2 linked regions of the Elephas maximus indicus genome follow. The main gene of each other region encodes a partner of the protein of the gene in region 2 in a complex. Links are inferred from orthologs where the notes say so. Each region holds a gene or a part of one and is shown on either strand. Other genes may lie near its edges. The genes, in order: IQSEC2 and ARF1.

The links.
Region 1: the proteins of ARF1 (region 2) and IQSEC2 are in contact, whole or in part, in a crystal structure (PDB 6FAE), measured with the Homo sapiens proteins. The link is inferred for Elephas maximus indicus from reciprocal best matches to the Homo sapiens genes ARF1 and IQSEC2. Residues at the interface, in NP_001019397.1 of Homo sapiens: Arg19, Gly24, Leu25, Asp26, Ala27, Lys30, Thr31, Ile46, Pro47, Thr48, Ile49, Gly50, Phe51, Asn52, Val53, Glu54, Thr55, Thr64, Trp66, Asp67, Val68, Gly69, Gly70, Gln71, Lys73, Ile74, Pro76, Leu77, Trp78, His80; in NP_001104595.1 of Homo sapiens: Arg810, Gln811, Gln841, Arg845, Val846, Gln847, Gly848, Glu849, Ala850, Gln851, Val853, Glu854, Glu858, Asp879, Phe882, Ile883, Phe886, Ala887, Ile889, Leu890, Asn892, Thr893, Asp894, Tyr896, Ser897, Pro898, Ser899, Val900, Arg904, Met906.

What each region holds. Positions count from the first base shown.
Region 1 is NC_064846.1:115,398,801-115,409,981, forward strand, and holds the start of IQSEC2 (IQ motif and SEC7 domain-containing protein 2), read left to right. Parts: upstream 1-5,718; 5' UTR 5,719-5,953; coding exon 5,954-6,657; intron 6,658-11,181. UniProt on the Homo sapiens protein: Is a guanine nucleotide exchange factor for the ARF GTP-binding proteins.
Region 2 is NC_064820.1:232,616,784-232,628,508, forward strand, and holds the start of ARF1 (ADP-ribosylation factor 1), read right to left. Parts: upstream 4,327-11,725; 5' UTR 4,221-4,326; intron 1-4,220. UniProt on the Homo sapiens protein: Small GTPase involved in protein trafficking between different compartments. Modulates vesicle budding and uncoating within the Golgi complex. In its GTP-bound form, triggers the recruitment of coatomer proteins to the Golgi membrane.

The sequences.
Region 1 (11,181 bases), on a different chromosome or scaffold from region 2:
TTTTTTATTGTTCTGATGTTGTTGTCATTTACAGATGGACATCTCTGTAAATTTTCCCTGTTGTAAATTTTTTAGTTTTGTTTTATCCTTGACAGTTCATTATCTATGTTGGTATCTGGCTGATGCTGTCTTATGTGCTAGATTCAGGTTGTTGTCTGATGTTGTTTGTTCTCTAACCAAAGGAGTCCCTTTAATAAGTCTTGTAAGTTTGGTTTGGTTTTTATGTATTCCCTTAATTTCTGTTTATCTGGAAATGTCGTAATTTCACCATCACATTTGAGCTAGAGTTTTGCAGGCTATATTATTTTTGGTTGGCAGTTTTTTTCTTTTAAGATTTTATATATGTCATCTCCTTGCCTTCTTGTCTGCATGGTTTCTGCCGAGTAATCAGAGCTTAGTATTATTGTTTCCCTTTTGTATGTGACTTTTCATTTTTCTTGAGCTTTTCTCAGGATTCTTTATTTGTCTTTGGTTTTAGCAAGTGTGATTATGATCTGTCTTGATGTTTTATTTTTGGGGTCTATCCTATATGAGGTTCATTGAGCTTCTTGGATAGTCAGCTTTTCATCTTTCATGATATTAGGGAAGTTTCCTATCAGCAAATCTTCCATGATCCTCTCTGTGTTTTCCATTTTCTCCCCCTATTCCGGAACTCCGATCACATGCAAGTTTTTGCTTTTGATTGTATCCCACATCGTTCTCGGAGTTTCTTCATTTCTCTTCATTATTTGATTTTTCCTCAAAGATAGTGGTATCCAAGGATTTGTCTTCAATTTCACTGGTCCTCAAAAAAAAAAAAATTTTTTTTTCTCATCCATTGTTTCAAATTTGCTCCTAAAACCTTCTATTGCACTGTCCATTTCTGAAATCTTGTTGTTTATCTTTTGGATTTCTAATTGCTGTTTTTGTGTGATTTCTTGTTGTTTATTTGACGATTTACTCCTGCATTAGTTTCCTGATCTCTTCCATTGTTTTGTCTGTCTTTTCCATGATTTTGTCTATTTTTTCCCTTATTTTTGTCTGCATTTTCCTTCATCTGTTGGAGATCCCTGAATATTAGACATCTGAATTCCCTATCATGTAGTTCCAGTGCCTTTTTTTCTGGCAGAAGGTCATCTGGTATTTTATTTTTGTCGCTTTCTGGAGCCATCCTCTCCTTTTTTTTTTTTTTTTTTTAATGTTTTAATATTGTCTGCTGTCTCTGGGACTTTCAGGAATTATTTTCTTCATTTATTTGTTGTAGATTTGATTGTTTCATTCTGCTTTATGTTTTATTTGATTATGTCTTGGTAGGCGGGCTGGGTATGTTTTGTTGCTTGCTTGCCTGTGTGCACGATACTTCTGAACACCTTGTCCAGGTGGGCAGGGCTGGTGACTCAGCTATGGTGTATCAGGGTGGGTCCAGCGGGGGTGGAGGGGCAGGGATGGTTAGTTTGTGGCATGAACTGAACTGGGGGCAATAGGATGGGGCTGGGGGCAGTGCAGGGCAGTGTCTGAGGGACCAAAGTCGGTACCACTTAAGGGCATGGCACTCATGCACAGTACAGATAGGCACAAGGGAAAGAAGAGGGTGAGATGTGCAGAGCTGAGTGGATGGGTGAAAGGAGAGAAACAAAGGCAAAAAAATGAAGTAAAAAAAGAAAAAGAAAAAAGTAAATAAAACGGCAGTGTGGTAGGATTCAGTGGGTGGGAGGTGGGGAAGATGCAGCAAGACCATGTGCTGGTGGCTCTCTAGCAGAGCCGTGTGGCTCAGCCTGTTGAGAAGTGGTGTGGGTGGTACACAGGGCTAAGTGGTTGAGAGAAAGGGAAGTAAAAGGGGAAAGAGAGAGAAGCAACCAACAATCAAACAAACAAAATAACGTATATATATATATATACATAAATAATAATGAAAAATACAAACAACAGCAAGATATATATATATGGTGGCGGGGGCACCAGCCATTAGGGGCTGGGCAGAATTGGAGTGGTGATGAGCTGATATCTCTCTCGCTGGGTGGCACAGCACAGCATAGCCCAACAGGAAGGGGCAGAGGTAGTGCAGGGTCTAGGTGGGAGGGAGAAGGAAAAGGAGAAGGGGAAAGATAAAGAAATAAAAAATATGGCTCTGAGGGAGCTGGCCCGTGGGGGTGGCACAGACCCTGGGAGGCAGCGTGCCAGAGGGTCTTCAGCCAAGTGGTATAGCACAGCCCAACAAGAAACTGGGGGCAGCGCACGGTGCTGGGTGGATGGGAGAAAGGAAAGGAAGGAAGGGAGAGAGAGAAGAAACAGTAAGAAAAAAAGAAAAGAAAACAAACAATAAATAAAATGGTGCTGAGGAAGCCAGTCGATGACGGTGGTGTAGACCCAGGGAGGCTGAGTGCAGTGACTCTCCAACTGAATTGTGCAGCACAGCCCCTCCAGAAGGGGTGGGGGTGGTGCACAGGGCTGGGTGGGTGGGAGGAAGGAAAGGAGAGAGAGAGAGAAGAAAAGAAGGGGAAAAAAAGAACAAAGCAAACAAACCCAAAAAAATCACAGCCCATCAAGAAGGGGAGGGGATGGCACACAGGGCTAGCTGGGCAGGAGAAAGGAAAGGAAGGAAGGGAGAGAGAGAGAGAGAGAAGCAACAAAAAAGGCTATATATATATCACAAACAATTAAACCAAAAAAAAAAAAAAAAAGGAACAAAGCAAACTAAAAAGTTACACCCCATCAAGAAGAGGAGGGGATGGCACATGGGGCTAGCTGGGCAGGAGAAAGAAAAGGAAGGAAGGGAGAGAGAGAAAAGCAACAAAAAAGCTCAAAAAAATATATCAAAAAACAAATAAACACACACACAGAGAGAAAAAGAACAAAGCAAAAAAAAAAAACAAAAGCCTGTCAAGAAGGGGAAGGGATGGCACACAGGGCTAGCTGCGTGGGAAAAAGGAAAGGAAGGAAGAGAGAGAACGACAACGAAAGCCAAAAAAAAAAAAATAACAAAAAAATGGTGCTGAAAGGGCCGGCTTATGTGGGTGGAGCAAACTCCAGTGGCAGTGAGCCAGTGTCTCTCCGGTGGAGCAACCATGGCCCATTGGCAAGCAGTGGAGGCCACCTATAGGGAAGAATGATGGGGGGTGGGAAAGCGTATATCCCTGGTTACTGAGTGCTCTGTCTCCTGCTGGGAGCTCCATGGAGTTGCCTTACTGTACTCTCTGTCTGCAGTCCTTGGTGGCTGAGGTCCAAGATGGCGAGCCCTGGTGGCAGTGAGCTGGTATCTCTCTGCCTGAGTGACCACGGCCCATTGGCAAGCGGTGGAGGCTGCCTAGAGGGAAGAAAGGTGTGGGGTGGGAAAGTGTGTATCCCTGGTTACTGGGTGCTCTGTCACCTGTTGAGTGCTCCATGAAGTTGCTTTCCCACACTTCCTGTCTGAGTTCTTTGGTGGCTGTAGCCCAAAATGGCAAATCCAGCCACTTTAGCTGGTATGGGACCTCCACTCTGTAGCTCCCCTTGTTCTCTGTCAGTTTCTTATTCCATTTGATGCTTGATTGAGTTCTTTATTCCTTCATTTGGTACTTAGGGTTCCAGGACTGATGTTTGTATCTGTTTACTTAGTTTTTCAGGTCTTTGTTGCAGAGGGAGGGCATGGTGCTTCTGTTGATAGTGCCATGTTGGCCCCGCCTCCTTTTTTAAAGCATTTTTTAAATAGTCTTTATTTTTGGCGTAAGTTTACACAGCAAATTAGATTCCCATTTCACAATTTCTGTACATATTGTTCAGTGATATTGGTTACATCTTTCATAATGTGTCAGTATTCTCATTATTTCCGTTTCCATTAATCTAGCTTCACTGCCCCCCCCCTTACCTTCTCATCTTTGCTTTATGGTAAATATTGATCATTTGGTCTCATATAGATGATTATCTAAAGGAGCACAGTACTCACAGGTGATATTGTTTATTTTATGAGCCAATCTATTATTTAGCTGAAAGATGACCGCCAGGAGTGGGTGGGTTCAGGTCCAAGTTTAAAGAGTATCTCAGGGCAATAGTCTTGGGGGATTCTCTAGTCTCTGTTGGTCCAGTGAGTCTGGCCTTTTTTTTTTTTTTTTTTTAAGGAATTTGAGGTTTCTTCTAGCTATGAACATTCTTGTAGAAGTTTTTGTGTGGACGTGCTTTCATTTCTCTTGGAGTGGGGTCATATGGTAACTCTATGTTTAACATTTTGAGGAACTGTCAAACTGTTTTCCACAGAGGCTGCACCATTTTACGTTGTCACCAGCAATGTACCAGGGTTCCAAATTCTCCACATGCTCCACAACACTTTTCATTTTCTGTTTTATTTTAGCTATCAAAGTGGGTGTGAAGTGGTATCTCATTGTGGTTTTAACTTTCATTTCCCTGATGACTTTTCATTAAGCATCTTTTCATGTGCTTATTTGTCACTTGTAATCTTCTTTGCAGAAGTGTCTGTTCAAGTCTTTTGCCAATTTTTTAAATTGGGTTGCTTGTCTTTTTGGTGTTGAGTTGTAAGAGTTCTTTATATATTCTAGATACCAATTCCTTATCAGATATATGACTTGCAAATATTTTCTTTCCATTCGAGGGTTGTCTTTTCTGCGCGAGGTGTTTTGCATGTTTTTTTCCCCAAGACTACTCCTGTGAGGTAGATGTTATTGATATGGAAATAGAAGTTCAGAGAGGAGAAGATGGAATTTAAATCCAATTTCATCTGACTGTAAAACTCAAGCTTTCTCCTCTACTACACCATGTTCACAAAGATAAATTAAGGCATGTTTCTGGCTTTAAGGAACTCAGACTAGCTGAGGACATAAAACAAGAACACAAACAAATGTGCTATAAAGCAGAGTTCCACTTGTCCCACAAGTGCCACAAGAGAGGGACAGAGGAAGTGCAGTGGGTGGTCAAGAGGAGAGAAAATACTTCTAACTGGGGAAATCAGGGCTGGTTTCGGTAAGGTGGTATTTGTGTTAAGCCTTAAAGGATGGGTACAGTTTCTTTGGATGGAGATGATGGAATGAATGGGGGTAGCATTTCCAAAGGAGTGCAGAAAATGAGGGTTGAATGAATGAATGAATGAATGAATGGAGCCTTGATCCTAACACTGGCTGTCATGGGGGCGTCCCAGGGCTTGTTGGGATGGGGACTTCTGGGACTGCCTGGGTTGGATGGGGGATCCTGAAGTTGGCTGGGATGGAGAGTTTAGGGACTTCCTGGGATTGGGGGAGCTGGGGACTGGCTGGGCTGGAGGGACTGGAGTTGGCTTGGATGGGGGCTGGAGGGAGGCCTCCTGAGAAAGGAGGTCCAGGGCTTGACTGGGATGGGGAGTCTAACTCTGGTTGGGATTGGCAGACCTAGTGGTTGGGATGGGGAGTCCGCGGGTGGCCTGGACTTGGGGGCTGCAGGGGATGGGTGTTCCCAGTACGGCTTGGATCTGAGGAACATTGGAGCGGGCTGGGATGGAGGGATTCGTTAGGCTGCATTAGGTGTGGGCCCTAGGGACCGGTGAAATGGCAAGATCTCCAGCAGGCTGTGATGGGGCTGACCCCCGTCTGGTGCCGGTGCCTTGGAGCCAGTTGGGCTGTGGACGCGGCTGGAGGCTGCAGGTGGAGCGCGCGGGGGTGGGCCGGGCAAGCCGGGTGGAGCCAGGGGCTGAGGGCGGGCCGGCGGCCTGGGCGGTCCCGCGCGGCGGCGCTACGCAGCGACTCCGCAGCGGGCGGAGCGCCGTGGCCCGCATCCTCCCAAGCAGTGGCGGTGGCGGCGGCGGCGGCGGTAGCGGCAGCTTCAGCTCCTGCTCCCGGTGCCGCCGGCCCCAGCGCTGTCTCCCGGGCCCCCCCGGGCCCCCGGGCCCTCAAGCCCGGTGCGCGCCCTCGCGTCCCGCCGGCCCCCTCCCCCGGCTGGGCCCGGGGGAGGGTGGCGCCGTGAGCGAGCGGGGACCGGGCTTTCGTGCCCTTTCCCCTGCCCCTGGGCTGCCAGGATGGAGGCAGGGTCGGGGACTCCAGGCGGCCCGGGCTCCGAGAGCCCCAACCGGGCGGTGGAGTACCTGCTGGAGCTGAACAACATCATCGAAAGCCAGCAGCAGCTGCTGGAGACTCAGCGGCGGCGCATTGAAGAGCTGGAGGGCCAATTGGACCAGCTCACCCAGGAGAACCGCGACCTGAGGGAAGAGAGCCAGCTACACCGCGGGGAGCTGCACCGGGACCCCCACGGCGCGCGGGATAGCCCCGGCCGCGAGAGCCAGTACCAGAACCTACGCGAGACTCAGTTCCACCATCGCGAGCTGCGGGAGAGCCAGTTCCACCAGGCGGCTCGGGACGTGGGATATCCGAACCGGGACGGCGCCTACCAGAACCGGGAGGCTGTGTATCGGGACAAGGAGCGGGAAGCCTCCTACCCGCTCCAGGACACTAACTACCCACCCCGCGAGCGCGATGTGGCCCAGTGCCATCTGCACCACGAGAATCCAGCCCTAGGTCGCGAGCGTGGCGGGCGGGAGGCCGGGCCAGCTCTCTCTGGCCGCGAGAAGGAAGCTGGCTATTCCGCGGCAGTGGGCGTGGGGTCGCGGCCACCGCGGGAGCGAGGCCAGCTGAGTCGTGGCGCATCCAGGAGCTCTAGCCCTGGGGCCGGGGGAGGCCACAGCACCAGTACCAGCACCAGTCCAGCCACAACCCTCCAGAGAAAGTAAGGAACGTGTGTTTGTACTTCTCCCTCCCTCTCTTCCCCTCTAGATCCTTCTTCAACTTGTCTGGCCGGCCGATAAAGTAAGAAGCCTGTGCCGGATTTCCATTTACCTCCTCTCCCTCTTTCACACTATACCAACCCACCAGGAGAAGCTGGGTTCTCCTCATCCAGCCGACACCCATTCCCTAGCCACTCCAGACTGGGATGGCCAGATGAGTGCAGGTGTCTCCCCTTGCCCAAAGCCGAGACCAGTGAAGGACTAGAGCAGTCATCATCCCCACCCCCCCCAACCCCTAGCTATATCGCTGTCAGAGGATGGCTTTTCATTTATTTATTTATTTGTTTTGGATGTACTGGTTAGGATTTTTATTGTTGGTGATGGTGTTGTCAACTCAGATTCCCAAGGAGAGAAACCTCCCCCCCCCTTTTTTTTTTTGCCTGTTTGGGTCTCCTCTGAAGGTTTTTAGTGGAGGCCTGATCTCATCTCCTCTGGCAGCCTCAGCTCCATCCTTTTCCAGAGAGGCAGGTGGGGACCAGAATGGCTGCTGGAGGCTGAGACATCTCTCTAAGGGAAACTGCAGCACATCCTGGCCCTGAGGAGCAAAGATGGAGGCCAGCCCTTGGCTAGTTCCTCAAAGTCCACCCCCTCTCCACCCTTCAAGAAAAACAACACCCAATTAAAGAGCTGTACCAGGAAGGATCTCCCCTCTTGGATGCTTTTCAGTTTCTGTGCTTGAATCTGTGTGTCCACCTATTTGGGATACCTCAACGATATCCCTTAGGTTGGTGGGACATATGGGGCTGGTGCCACTTTTTTCATGTAGGTAACATCATCAACTGGGTGGGATAAATGTTTCAAGCTGAGAGGGTCAAGGGCATGCTGACTCAAAGGGCTTCCCTAAAGTCTCCCTTATTTATTTTCTGCTGTATTGGAAAGAACACTGAACTGGGAGTTAGAAGACCTGGGTTCCCCTTCCAGCTCTGCTGCAGATTGGCTTTGTGACCTTGACTGAGTCCCTTCCTCTCTCAACCCATCGGTTCCTCCATATCTTTTTAAAAGGCAAAGGATGCTCTTTCAGGGCCCCTACAGCCTAGATTTGATGGTTCTGTGACTAATCCAGCCACACCACAGAGCAAGTCTTAAGTCCTCAAGCGAATGGACAGCACCCCCCCCCCCCCCCGCTGCTCAGCTGGTCCTACCATGTGCCACAACCAGTGGAGTGTCTCTTGGAGGCTGGGGGTGGGGAAGCCTTCTGCCTCAGGAAGTCTGCTGGGAGACAGCTCTCTGCAACTCCCCCGTGGTGAGGCAGCAGGCTGGGGTGCTGGGTTGAGATGGCTGGGCCCCAGGAGAAGCAGCTGCAGCTTGAGGGCTCATCTGGACTCCACTGCAGCGTACCCTCAGCTGGGTGTTGGTGTGGACTGGCCCAGAGTAGTCTGGGGGTGAGAGGGGTGGGCTGTCATGCCTAGGCAGTGATGCCAGGAGCCCATTCCTAGAGGACTGTGTGCAGCTTGGGGCACCACACCGGAAGAGGGATACAGATAGACTAAGGCCCATTCAGGAAAGGGCCATGGTGGGGTGAGGGCAGAGGTAGATTGGATGGGGCATTGTGGTCCTTGAGCCTGGCTGCAGAAGACTTTTCTAGAGGGGTCAGGCCTGTAACAGAGGAAGCAGCTTCATTATACGAGGGCTCCAGAGGGAAGAACCAGGAGCAACTGGAAGATTTGGGAATAAATCAGGAAGAACTTTGCAATCTGGCTGTCTGGTGATGCGGTGGGCTGCCTCAAGTGGTGGGGGCGGGGGTTGTCTAGACATGTCCAGCAATGGCCAGATGGGGGTCTGGGAGAGCTGGAGAAAGCATAATTCCTGAATCAGGTATAAAGCCCAATGAAATGACTTGAGCCTTCCCAATTCCAAAATTCCATTATCCTCAGAGTATCCATCCTGCTGACATGGGTCAGATCTCCGGGCTGGCTGGAAGCCCATTTGCTCTTGAGCTCCATACTTCTACCATCCATGCAGGACCTGCCTCTTGGTCCTTCCCTCCTTTTGTGCACTCTCCAGGTTGTTTGTTGGATTTTCTTTCTTCATGTTTCCTACTGGATTAATAAGGAGGTTTACCTAGTACTTTGCATTTCTCTCAATCATGTATTAACCAACATTTGTACATCCATCATTAGCTCTTTTGGCCCTTACAACAGGCCCTTTGCAGTGAGCATAATCAGCTCCATTTTAGAGATGGGGAAACTGAGGTTCCAAGATGAAGAAACCATGCTCAAGGTTATGCAGCTAGCTATTAATGGAGCTGGGACTAGAACCCAAGTCTGCCTATCTCCAAAGCCTGCTATTTTGCCACTAGATCTTTCTAACCCACAGGAATCTCTTGGCCTCAAAAGCTGGACAGGTACTGAACTGAAAGAGGCCAGAAGAGCCTTGACTATCTAGATGCTTTTAGCAGGAGGAGATGACTGGGATGAGTGGGGGAGTTGGTGGGGGAGGGAAGAAGTCCGTGTCTCCCTTCTTTCCACTCTCCCTCCTGGTCAGGCGTCATGAGGGCCTTGTTGATTCAGTAGCCAATGTTGCCACCAGTGCTGCTGCACATGACTCCCCTGCCAGACCTGTTCTGGGTTCTTAAGGAGTGGGTGAGAAGGCTGCTGCTGGAAGCGAGGGCAGGCAGAGTGGGAGTTTAGCAGCAGAGGCTGCAGCATTGGGGGAGGATAGGTAGAGTTGGTACCAGCTGGGCGTTCCTGGTTCCCAGGCTCCCTCTGGTGGACAAAGAGGAGAGAGTGTGGCCTGGGCTGAGCTGCCGCTTGTTGGGGGTCTGCTCTGCCTAGGGGTTTTATTTAGTCCTCGCAATAATCCTGGGCATCTGTCATCACAATCCACATTTTATAGCAGAGGAAACTCAAAGAAGTGAAATGACACACTGGAGGTGATGCTGTTAATAAGACAGACTCCCAATCCTGTGAACTTTGGCTCTTTACTGCATTGGATGTCAGCTGTCACGTCCAGCTCCACTCATATTATCTACATGTGATTCCCACATCCTCCTGCACTGTCTCTTCTGGATAGGCTCCAGTATGCCGGTATCCCTTCTGCTGTTCTGTAAGTGTGGCCTTTCTAGTGCAGTGTAGAGCAAAAGGAGTCCCTACCTCCTTCTGGACGCTGGTCCTCTGTACGTGAGGGTTTGGTTGGCTTGGTTTGTTTTGTTTTTACGGAGCTGTTGGTCCTCACCAATGCTCGGATCTTTTTACCTGAAATCGTTGCCTCCATCCAGGTGATTAGAGAAGAGTGCTGCTTTTGTTGTTGATCTTGACCTGGCCCTCCCTTGCAGTTCTGGCACCCAGAATGATTTATAGGAGTGCTAGGGGCCACTGCTGAGTTGCTCCACGCTGAAGAGAGCTGCCTTTCCCACGCTTGTTGCATGGGCCCAGCTCAGGCTGTACTGTAGGCAGTGGTGAGTTGGAGCTGTTTTGGTGGTAGCTCTCCAGCTTCTGTCCCACCCCCACCCCACAAGCTGCTCACATTTGGAGACAGCAACTAGAGGGACCAGCCTGCTGTTCTTGACGACCAGGGCAATGTGTGGCCTAACAGCACGACTGCTGGGCTGTCTTCCTGCATGCAGTGGGGGTGTTCTCATGCTTCTGGCAGGACCTTAGGGTGCTGGGAATGAGTGAGTGAAAGAGAGCACCTAGGGAGGGGCTCTGAGGAAATCTATCTCCTTTGGGGTCTAGGGTACTTTTCCCAGAGGTTGCTCATTTCCAGGAGGGAAAATCATTTTATCTTACCCTCACTGTGTTGTGAGCGTTATACTTGGTGTGGGAGGAAATGATGATGTTGAGAAGTCTTGCTTCTCTGTCTAGATCTGGGGCAAGAATGGGGCTGTTGTCATCCACAAACATTTCCCGGCTGTGTGCAAAGAGCAGGAGGGGCCACCAGGCTGAACAAATACCATGCTCTTTGTGTTTGCAGAGGCTCCCCCTGCCCTGTCCCCAGCCAGAGAGACAGGGTTCCAGGCCCAATCATGCCATAGAGACAATGCTCAGGACAAAATGAGTAGCAAGAGTGATGAGAAGTGGAGGTCCTCAGAGAAAGGAGGGGTCAGGGCAGGCAAGACCACTGGTTGAGGGCCAGGGGTGGGGGTGGAGGGGGCTTTGAAGGAGAGTGGGTGGTTTCCTGGTTTTCCATGGAGAGAAAAGTGGGACAAAGAAGCCAGACTCAGGCTTGCTCTCTGCTACCCTTTCCTCGCCTGTCCCACCCCTGCCTACTGTGGCCTCTGAATTCTCTGGGAGCATAGAAAGGCCTGGAGCATAGAGGAGGCCACACGTGTACTGAGTGAATCTCAGCCTTCTGTCTGCCAGGCACCACCCTGTGTGGCTTTATGTAATAATAGCTAACATTTTTTACTGCACATACTGTGTGCCAAGCACTTTTTGTTCTAAGTGCTTTCCATGTATTCATTTAATCTTCACATGAATCTTTTGACGTAGATATTGTGATTAACTCCATTTTGCAGGTGAGGAAAC
Region 2 (11,725 bases):
GAGAAATGCTCAAAGCTATAAATACTTTGCCAAAAGATACAGTCTAAATATAAATTAATGGAATCAGTCAGTTAATGAAGAATTGCACTCTGGTCCATACAGGAGTAGGAAGCTGCTCCTTTACAGGCATGCGTACTGTTTAGAGCACTCTTTAAAAGGAAATCCTCTGTCCTGCGTCCCTCTGTCTACATTCCTACTCTTCAAAGGACTCTACAGAGACTTTACAAATTGTTTTCTTGGCTGTTTGCACCTAAATCAAACTGATCACCTGCGGTTGCCAACCACGTGAGTTGAGAGTAGAACCGTGTGCCACAGGGTTTTCAAGGGCAGAGTTTTCCGGAGATCCCCAGGCCTTTCTTCTGAGGCACCTCTGGACGGACTCAAATCACCGACCTTTCAGTCAGTAGCCAAGTTCGTTAACTATTTATTTGTACCACCCCAGGGTCTTCAAATCAAACTGACAGGATACTTTACAAACTTCTTGTTAAAAATCTTTGGTATCTCAGAGGATTAGAACCACTAAGTTTCCTGTGCAGCTTCCATATGCAGTAGTGCAAAAGTTACTGAATGTATGAAGAAAAGGAAGAAAAAAAAAAAAGACATTCTTTTCCATAAAATCAAATACTACGACTTGAAGCCCTTTAGAAATGAATCCTTCTAATCTGCTAGCATTTCTTTTAGGAGTAAAAGTTGTTTCCAAAATACACACTCCTACATCCTTAAGATGTGCACAGATCATAATCAAATCTCTAAGTAACTTAAACCACACAGCAACAGCACCCTTCAGGCCTCGGAGATGTATAAAAAAGTCTGCCTCCTAAACTGAATAGCTCCCAATGCTATGTTTTTGAAATTTGCCTGGCTTTATGTTTTTTCCTGTCTCCTCCCTCGCTGTCACTTAAACCATGCCCCTTGCTATTGTCAGGGACTGGAAGGAACTCCTTCTTCCCTTTCTAGTCACTGATGACAGATTGTTAAGCTCCAGTTACCACTGTATGTAAAACCAGGAAACGGGATAGTATGGAGGTTGGGTTCCTCAATCAGCCAGCCTCCACCATTCTTTCCAGTTTCTACAGGGCAGCTGCTGTGACAAGACTCTGTGGGTGAGGGCCAAAGAGATTCTCCTAGAAATAAAGAGTCCTGATGTTTCTGTGTTAAATCTTGCCATTTTTTTCCAGCTAATCAGGCCATTTGACCCACCTGAGAATGCGAAACTACCTTCCTGAATAGCTGTAAAAGATGAGGTGCAACTATATTTCACAGAGCTTATGACAATCACAAGAGGGTACAAGCCTAAGGATGAAAAAATGATCTTAAGTGTTATCCAGGTGACCTGGAATTTCTATCTCCTCCTTTCTCTCCCACCACCCTTTACTTCCCCATACGTAGGGTCAGACCCAACTCACAATTAGGTCAAAATCTTTTCCAAAAGCCTACTTCAGAGGATGCTAAGAGGACATCTTTAACAACCACCTATGCCAGTAAAATGGCTGGCAGTTCAAATCCGCCAGGTGCTCCTTGGAAACTCCATGGGGCAGTTCTACTCTGTCCTATAGGGTCGCTATGAGTCTGAATCGACTCGACGGCGCTGGGTTTTTTTTTTTTTATGCCGGTTAAGGAGCCATACAGCACAAAAAAGGTACTTCTCATTTAATGTCAAACTCCCAACTGAAAGAAATGTCTGTTTCTCTCCCAACTACCTCTAACAGATCTGCATTTTTATTTCCCTTCACTTCTACTAATACCATTATGAAGGCTGAACGGGTCAAAGGGAGAGTCCCTATCACGGACAATGTGGACAAGGATAGTCTGTGAAAAGCATGGCAAATCCAGAATGGCTGAGGTCTGATCATCTGTAAAGTAGAACGATAACAACGCTCAGGAAGGTGTGTGCAAAAAAGTGTGAAAAGCCTGATCTGTGATTAACAGCCAATTTTAAATCCAGACATATCAAGGCAAAATTTAATTAGAAAAATCTGAAAAAACTGATTCAATGCTCTCAAGCCAAATTAATATACCATTGTAAGAACCTGCACAACAGATTTTTTTTTTCCCTTGGTTGGGTTTACTCCTATGGCCCTTTGACTCCGGAGATCACCTCAGCAGTTGATGGCCCATATTACATTTTCCTGACGTGAATAAGAAAAGCCAGACTGTACCTTTGTTGAGATTCAGGCCTGTCTGGTTTTGGGTACAGACAGGTCAGCAGTTGAAGAAGTCCGAATGTCCTCTTCATATTGTGCAATCAGCTAAACACCATGATTTTTAAAATCCAGAACCCTAGAGAGCACAGAACTAGTTTCTGCTTTCTACTAATTCTCTCTCACTGATGAGTGGTGGAGTGTAAGTCAAGCCAGCTATTATCCAAACCAGTGATTTTAAATCTCTCTGGAGTAGCAATTCTGAGTATCTGAGAATACCCCCACACGAGCAGCATATTTCTAATGCTGACATTATATTTTTCAACATGATATTTAGGAAGACCAGTAAAACTCTACAATGTGGCACATCCAGGACTGAGGACCTCCACTAGGAGGTTACCAGAAGATCTTAGTGCAAGCAAGATAAGAACCTCTGACCAACGTGGCCGATGGCGATGACACCACAGAGCAGTAGCACTTTGTTAACCCGTGGAGAATGTCAAGGCAGAAGACCACAGGATCAGTACACCATGCAGTGACCTTATACTCCCTCAGACACACTGCTGGAAACACCAGGACCAGTCGTGCACACAGCAAGTAGGAAAAAGTGCTGACACTAGTTCTGAAAGGAGAACTGGGACTGACAACTCCAACACCAGTGGTGACATCAACTGTGCAGCTCTTAACAGAAACTTCTGGGACCACCCAAAAGCTTTTGAAATTTCCTCGTTTTCTGCCAGCCATTTCTTGTGCAATTCTGCTCAAGTCATTTAAAACAGCAGTTTGCTTTTCCTTTCGATGAAATGGGGAGTGTGCCACCAGGCTCCGAGGTACTGTCTCAAATAATTACTTAATGTTTTAAGTACTGTATAATTGTTAAGCCTTATTAACAAAACTACCATTTTCCATGCCGTAACAACCCGGATTGTGCAACAGGAAAGCATGAGGTCAGCTCTGCTAAAGAGACTGCCTAGACTTTAGGAGCAAATTGTTTTACAGGTAGGTTAAAGATTCGCCAGCTGCGAAAGAGGTATTCTTATCTACTCCCCAAGACATTCAAGGAAAAAGTCCTAAGGTTAAAAAAGCAAGGATAATTCAGTCCTCTAAAGGCCACAGGAGCCTCGACTGCCGATTTACTCAGAAGGCAGCTCCCTGAGCTTGGCATCCTTTAAAGTCTTCGCATCTCCTAGGCTACGCCGGGTTTGTCTTAGAGGTCTACAGATCTCACTCACGTGAAAGCCGAACCTCCATTCGGCAACAGAGGCAAAGCCCAGGGCCCCTGCCCTCAGGCAGCTCCCAGCCGCTCCTCCCCTCCCCCAGCACCCGCCAGGCGAACTCCGACTCCCAGCTTCTGAGCAAACAGGAACTGGAGGCAGGAGGCCTAGGTTCAAACCCTAGCGATCTGTGACCTTCACCGAGTCACGGAGCCGATCCAAGACTCAGTTTCCTGATCCCTCATAAACCTCGAGGCTTATAAAATTTCCTCTCCAGAGGTCGGCACCCGGAGGCGCCTGGAAGGGGCCGGCTAGACGTTCATCCGTCCTTGGGAGACCACCGCGCCCCGAGCCCTAAGCGCCCCGCTTCCTCCTCCACCCTGCCAGGGCAAAATGACTCAAACGCGCCGGCTCCAACTTCCTTTCCCTGCGCCGGTCACCGGCGAGCGAGTCCCGCTCGAACAAGCAGTTCCCGAGCAGAGGAGGAAGCAAACCTCTCGGCTTCGAAGGCGGGGAGGGCTCCAGAGAAGGAGCAGGAAACGAAGGCTTTTTAAAGGAAAAGCCCGACCTCCCGGCGAGGCCAGGACCGAAGCCCGCGCCTCCGGATCTCGGGACCGGCGAGGGGGAGGCGGCGAGGGTGCCGGGCGAGAACGCGCGGGAGCGTTCGGGGTAGCAGAGGCCAACAAGGGGGACACGGGAGGCGCCGACCAAGCCCTCCGCGCCCCGACCGCTCGGCCCAGCCCCAAACCGCCCGGCCCTACGGCCTCGCCTGCCTCCGGTCCCGCCGCCGCCGAAGGGGCGAGACACGCGCGAACCCCAGGGCTAGCCCCGCCGCCTGCCCGCACCGTGCCCCCCGCCGTCTCACCCCTCGGCGGCCGGGCGGCTGCTGCTGCTGCTACTGCTGCTCCGAGCCAGGCGTTGGTTTCGCTCCCACAAGATGGCGGCTCTGACGGCGGCCACGTCAGTGCCTGCTGCCGCGGGAGACGCCGGGTAACTGGGGCAGGGACATCGCAGGCCACGCCCACACCGCTCCGGGTGCGCATGCGCGGGCCGCGCGCGGAGGCGGAGCCGGCGGGCGAGCAGCGAGGGAACGGCGCCCCGCCCCTGGCCGGTCCCGGTCTTACGGGTCCAGGTGCCTTAGCGGTCCACGCGATCGGACGGGCAGTGGGCGCGCTGGGCGCCGGGCCAGCTGCGCCTCTCACCGACGTGGAACCGGGGCCTGGAGCGGTGGGACGGGGCCAGGCCCTCCTGTCCAGTCCCTCCCGTCCGGTCCATCGCCGGCAGAAGGAGCCCACCTCCCTGCGGCCCGCGCGCGGCATCGTGGGGGGCCCCGTGGCCACCACCAGGCGGCCACACACAGAAAAGGGGGTTTCCAGGGAGCTTTCAGGCCTCCGGCGTCCTCCTCCTGCAAACCGGAACGTTACTGGACGCCGTCCAAGGGCCTGGCAGAGACCAGAACAAACGCGCTTGTCCCTGGAGCTGACCTGCGGGAGCACCGTCCTATATGGAAGAAATAAATGATTTACTGAGTCCGGTAGTACGGGGTCAGCAGGGCAGGAAAGCCAGTGGCACGAGGGAGAGTGATTGCAGGGGGGTGGTTGGGTGACCTCTAATGAGGAAGGGACAGACTTGACGGTGAGGCTTGGAGGAGACATTTCCTGGGGAAGCCTCCCTGAACCGATCACTCCCCCCAGTTTCTCAGGGTGCAGGAATCTGGCTCTGGCCTCCACTGTGAGGCTCACTTTGGCCTCCAGCTGACCCCTAGGGCTACATCCTCCCATCACCCTCATGTGACTTTGAATCCCCCGCGGTGGGTGCTCCTCATTCCAGAAGCTTTAGTGGAAATGCAGGGAAGCTTTCCAGCCCAGTGCCCTAGGTGTTGTGGGTGGCCAAAAGTGGAGCCTTCACTTGGGTCCTGGCATAATCACTCCGTGGCGAGTCCAGGGGCCTGCCTGATGAGGCGGTCAGCACCAGAGCCTGCAGAGCAACTGTGGCCCGGCAGACAGCCTCCTGTCCCCAAGTGCACCCATCACCCACCTGGCAAAGGCGGTGTGGCCTGCTCGCTGGGCTGGCGTGGCCCGGGTCTCACGATGCCAATGCTGCCATCACCCCAGACAGCAATGACCCTGTGACCCACCTGTCTCCAAATACTGCTTTTCTCCTCCTTCTGAAATAATGAGAACCCAGGCCCCCATAGACAAGTCCCTGCTCCAGCCCCCAAAACATGTCATCTGTGGAAGAGCCCACGGCTCCCCTGCCTGCAAGCGCCACCCCGTTCTCTGCCTGGGACACAACTGCCATCACACTACCAGCTCAGATGTCACCTCTGTCAACTGCTGTGGGGTTGTCTGTTTAGGGGTCTCTCTCCCATTCGGACCTATAACCCATTACCACTGAGTTGGTTCCAACTTATATGACAGAGTAGAACTGCCCCGTAGGGTTTCCAAGGCACTAATCTACACGGAAGCAGACTGCCACAGCTTTCTCCCTCAGAGTGATTGGTGGGTTTGACAGGGGTTAGCAGCCCAGCACTTAATTACTGTGCCACCAGGGTTCCCCTCTACAAATACTCCTGTGAAGTGCTCCTGGGTCTGCATTCCCAGGGAGGGACATGGAGGTTCCCTAGAACTGCAGTGGTCATGGCTCTCACCCCAGGGAGCTGGCCTGTGGCTGGTGTCTCCCACAGTCATCCTAGAGATCCTAGCCACATGTGAACCTTGTGATCACAACTGCTTCAAAGCTGAGGAACCGAGGAAAGGAGCAGTGAGGAGACAGACTTAGAGGTGGCAGTACCTGAAAACTGGAGCTCACCTTCCCTTTTCTTTAAAAAGAAAAAAAAAAAAAAAGTGAAGGCTATCATACATAGGAAGGAGTGTGTGTAAGATACACACAGTTTTAAAAATAAATGAATTCCAGGTTAAGAAATGTAACTTCCTCCCAAACTCGGCCTCCTGGTTTTGCCCCCAGGGCAAGGGAGCTGTCTTCAGGTTAAAGCAGGCACACCAGGGGAATAATTCCAAGATCAGGAAGTGTCAGGCAGTTATTTAGCGAAACTAAGGCCCAGGTGCTTGCCCAAGTTGACAAGGGAGTTAGGGCTTCCGTGTCCCTCTTGTGTGGGACTCCCAGGATAGAATCTCTTCAAGGTGGGGCCTAGAGTGGGTGCCTTCTCAGCCTTGGCCAGGAGGCGGCGCAGAGCACAGGCCCTGGGGTGTCCACATTCCGCAGCCACCTTAGCTGATAACTCAACAGCTTGGGGAGATCCCAACCCAGCTTCCCTTTCTGACTAACCTGCCGGGCCCCTTGCCCCTGACAGATGCTCAGAGCAGTCAGGGCTGAACAGGACAGCATCCTGAGGAAGGTGGGCTGGAAGGATGGGCAGGACGGGCCTGAGTGAAGGGGCAGAAGTGGCCGGTTTGGCTGGAATGGAGGTGTGAGGAGGGAGCACTCATACACTCAAGGACACCAGCCCTGCCCCCAGGGGCGGGTGGATGTTAAAATTTGGCTAGTACTTTATGTGAGAAGTCAGGCAGCATACTCAAGGTCATATGGCTAGTTCTTAGCCACACTGGGACTAGAACCCCAGTCTGCCTGTGGCCAATGCCTTCAGTCTTCCGCTCACCTGCTACATTGCCTCTGGAGGGTGAAATTTTATCTTGAACCCCTCCAGGGATGGGGAGCTCACCACTGCCCAAGGTAACCCTTGTTCATGGGCATATCTGCTCTGCCCGGCCTTCCTGCAGTCCCTGTGCCCTCAACATAACTGCTGGGGGAGGCTCTTCACCAGGCCCCATCCTGGGGGAAGCTCCAAAGTTGGGACTGAAGCTGGTCCCCGGCTAAGTCAAGGCTCTCAGCTCAACACCCAGTGCTGAATTGTGGGAAGAACTTCAATGATTTTTGTGGAGCACGGCGGATCATCTGGTTCTCTATGCTCCCCCACCTCCATCTGGCCCTCTGAGGGGCCAGAGGCAACCGCTGAGACAGGGCTTCCATGCGGATAGGGATGGGATGGAGAAAGGACCCCATCCCCTTCCCTCCTCCAGGCCCACTGCAGGAATGATCATGGTCTGTTCTGACCACGGGGGTCCTCAGGAGGAGGGCCTGGACAAGCCCCCACACTCTACCCTGTGACTCCCCCTTCCTCGGGCCTGGGCTGGGGTCTAGGCCAGCCAGGCCTCAACTGCCACTCTGGTTGTGGTGGGGGGAGCCTTGTCTGGCAAGGGCTGAGCTCACCTGCGGCCACGCAGCAGCTGAGAGGCAGCGTGAGGACCACCATCCAGTACCATGAGGTGGGAGAGAACTGGCTCAAGGGGCACCTCTTACCCCCCAACCCAGTCCCTTCTGTAGCATGTCCGTTTCCCTCTAAAAAACCAACCAACCAAACAACAACAAAAACAAAACCTTCTCCTGCGTCATTTTCCCCATCTCAGAGAAGGTACCCAGGACCCAGTCTCCAGAACCGGGGTCACTCTGGTGCCATCCTTTCCTTGGTCCCAACCGCTCTGAGATGAACTCCTGTTCATGCCAGGGAAAAGGCCAGGACCGCCCTGAGCCTAGGCCTTCACGCTTGTGTTCCCTGTGCCTGGGACACTCTCCCAGGATGGGGCGGCCCCTCCGAACGTAGCTCAGCTCTCACCCGGCCAAGTGCCCTTCTGGCAGCAGCTGTGATGGCCACTCCGCCTGGTCTTGCATTCTCTTAGCCACACTTTCCACGGTCTGAGGCAGGCAGTGCTCAGGCCCACATGTGCAGCAGATGAGGTGTGTGATGGCCACACAGCTCACGGGACACACACTGGGCTGGGAAAGCACAAGTCTTCATGGTTATTGGCCTCTCACTGACATTTGGCATTTCCTGCCAACTTGAATGTGGGCAGAGTCAAGAATGGCAGTTTTAGCAGGACCTCTGACTCTGTCACCTGTGGAAACCTCAGAGACCTTCAGGTCTCACGGCAGCTGCTGCAGTAACCTTGGGCTCCTGTCTCTGCTCCCCACTAAGTGGAAGTGACGGGGGGGATCTCCCTCACCAGTCTTGTCACAGGTGCAAATGACAGAGACTGATAGCTCTATGCACCACACTTGCCCTCTTTTCCACAGGCTTTGCTTTTCTATTTGTTACAGCTTTGCGAGGTATAGTTGAAATATAATAAGCCGAACGTAGTTATTGTGTACACTTGTGTGCACGTGTGGCCCTATCACCACAACTAGATAAGAAGATACCTGCCATCCCAAGCAGTTCCTCTACCATGAAGTGTTTGAAGCTTTTGATAACATGTCAGTTTCTTTCGTGACGGTGGGTCGTTTATTTTATGAAAAGGTCCTGGGCTTTGCTAGACCCCTGGGGGGCTCTCTGGCACAAGAACCCCTGCCTCCCACCTCCCAAGCCAGATGCAGAGACAGAACCAGGGAGAAGAAGGGTTTTGGGGGCCCAGGGTCCTTGGTGGCCCTCTGTGCACCTCCAGCCTCAGCCCCTGCCACAGCCCACCCTGCTGTCTGCCTACTGACAGAAGCGCCTGCACTGTGGGGTCTTGGCAAGTTGTTTGTCTTCTCTGAGCCTCGGTTGCCTCATCTCTCAAATGGGAGTGCTGAGGGTGGTTGTGCTGTTTAAGAGGGCCAGTGCCATCCAGGGTTTGGACCGGCCTAGAAAGAACACACTTGCGTCAACTTCCCAGCAGGCCCAGGCTCTCGGGCATTTCTCTCTGCCCCCAGTGTCCTCTTTTTGTGGCCACTCCTCTCCACCGTGCCTGGCCTGCTTTCACTCCGGTACCTACTGCCTGGCCCATGCCCCTCGGTTGGGTGGTGAGATCTCTGGGGAATTAGCTATGCCCCCTACCCCAGCTAGCGACAGGGCGTGTCTGCTGGGTTGAACAGCTAATCCTGCCCTGCTGGTAGAAAGGGGCTGACTTTGCAGCCAGAGGATTTAGGGGAGATCCACCAGATAAAAGCACGTCTCCCGTGAGCTGGGAGATGGGGGCCTTGTGGGGAGGCTGGAGTTGCCTGGTGGGTGAGGGCTGGAAGGGAAGAGGAGTCTGCTCTCTGAGGCTGTGTGTTGGGTGCGTGGTTCCCCAGTGACAGCATCCGAGTTCCCTGGAGGCTGTGTTGAACCTCTGGCCCACCCCAGAGTGTCTGACTCAGCAGGTCTGGGGTACGAAGTGAGAATCTGCCTTTTTAGCAAGTTCCCTGGTGATGCTGATGCTGCTCGCCCAGGGACCCACTTTGAGGGCATTGCACTAGTGTGTGGCTGCATCTGAAGGTAAATGAGGGATGCAGGGGGAATGGACTGGTGACCTGCCTGCTCCTTCTAGCCCCGAGCTCTCAGATTTGGGGATTCCACTGGTGGGCCCTGGTGTGCTGACAGGGTGGAGGCTTGGGGGCATGGGCTTTGGAGAGTCTGCAGTCAGGGCCGTGGGGGGCAGAGCATGTTCTGGGAAGAGCCCCCCGGCAGAGTTGGAGAGCTGCTCCATCCGCCCTAGGAGTGCGTGGTGCAGGAGGGGTTGGGCCCGACCTTGGACAGATTTTTGCCCACCAGCGACTGGCCCCAGCCCATGGAGAACGTCAGCCCCTCTGTAGCCCTGCCACCTGCTGGAGAGCACCTTCTCCTGCCGCTGGCCTTGAGGGCCCATCCACCCAGCAAGTGGCCTCCCCAGGACCCAGGAGGCACCAGAGATAACTCCCACCCTGTTTGCCACATTCGGTCTGTCCCACAGCCCCAGGACTAGGACCCATCCTCCTGGTGGGCGAGGACCCTGAGGCTGTCCAGGGCACCAGGAAAGGCTTTTTCTTTTTCCACTTTTGTTGGGGCATACTTTATAGACAATGATATGCACAGATATGAAGTGTACAACGGTGATGTGTTTTACAAAACCAACACCTCAATAAAGATACAGAAGATTTCCCTCACCCACGAGAGTCCCTCTTACCCATTTCCCTCCAGTCCGCCCCCAGGCAACCACTTTTGTAATTTCCACCCCCTGATTTAGCTTTTCTTGCTCTAGAACTTTGTATACACAGACTCACGGTATGTATCTTCTGTGCCTCGATTTTTTGGCTCAGCGTAACGTTTTGGATTCATCCTGGTGTTGCCTGAATTGGCTGTTTGTTCCTTTTTGTTGCTGAGTGTGTTCCATTGTGTGAATACACGGCCGTTTGTTTATCCATTCCACTGTTGATGGACGCTTGGGTTGTTTCCAGTTTTTGGTGTTTACGAGTAAAGCTGCAATAAACATTCTTGTACAAGTCTTTTTGTGAAGTGTGTTTTCACTTCTCTTGGGTAAATACCTGAAGTGGAATTGCTGGCTTGTGGGTTAAGTGTTTGTTTAACTTTAGAAGAAACTGCAGGTTTTCGAGGGCCTGTGCCTCTGACACGCCCTCTCCCAGGGTGGAAGGTGCCCACACTCCACAGGGCCCCCTCTGGCAGGAGTTCATGATTTTACGTGGCTCTTTGCTTCTGGTGGCTCATTTTTCTTCTGCTTATCACAGACCCATTTTAGAGAGAAGGCAGTTGAGGCTGTGAGTGGGGATCAGTGCCCTCAGCTGACACAGACTGTTGGAAGGGGCGAGCAAGGACCCCAGGAATCCGCCTCCTGGTCTCTCTAGGAGCCCTCTCTGGGGTTAACAGGAATGGGATCTTACCCAGCCAGAGCCGAGCCCCCTCCTCCCTTGTCTTTGCTGTCCACAGGGGCAGCTGGCCTGGTTGGAATGGGTAACACCTCTTCCTGTCCTTTAATTACCTTGTTAGGGGCAGAGAGTCCTGACCCTTCCATGTGACCCCTGCCCATGCCCTCCACCCTCTCACCTACAATAGAGCTGATGTCCCATCCTGGGTGGAACAGAGCAGGCCAGCTCACAGAACAGACCCTGCCCTTTGCTCTGCGGTGGCCCTGGGGTGAAGGCGAGGAGGCCTCTCCAGCCTCTTTCTGGGCTGGACGCCTATCAGTTGGGGTCCTTTGGAAATACTACCTCTGCAAAGGGTCCCAACCTCCCAACCTGACCCTCGGCTCAGGGCTGCATCAAGCCAGTGGGTGCCAGGTGGAGACGGGGGGTGGGGTGTTGGAGGGGAGGAGGCCAGGGCCTGTCCGGGAACACACTGTGGTTGTGGCCTGGGTTTGAATTCAGGGCTCCTGAGAACATTTAACACTGCTCCCAGGGCTTCTCAGGGGAGGCTGTAGAGCTGCTTGGGCTGGGAGCAGGAGGAGGGTGCCAAGGGCTCTGTTCTGGGCAGTGTCTCTCCGGGAGTGGTCAGGGGCTGGGATAGCAGAGGAACCGTGGCTGGTGCAGAGCCAGGCTTGGTGGGGACCAACACAGAGCAGATTTCAGCTCAAAATGTGGGGACAACTCGGCAGTGAGCTACCTGGGTAGGTAGTGAACTTTCTGCTG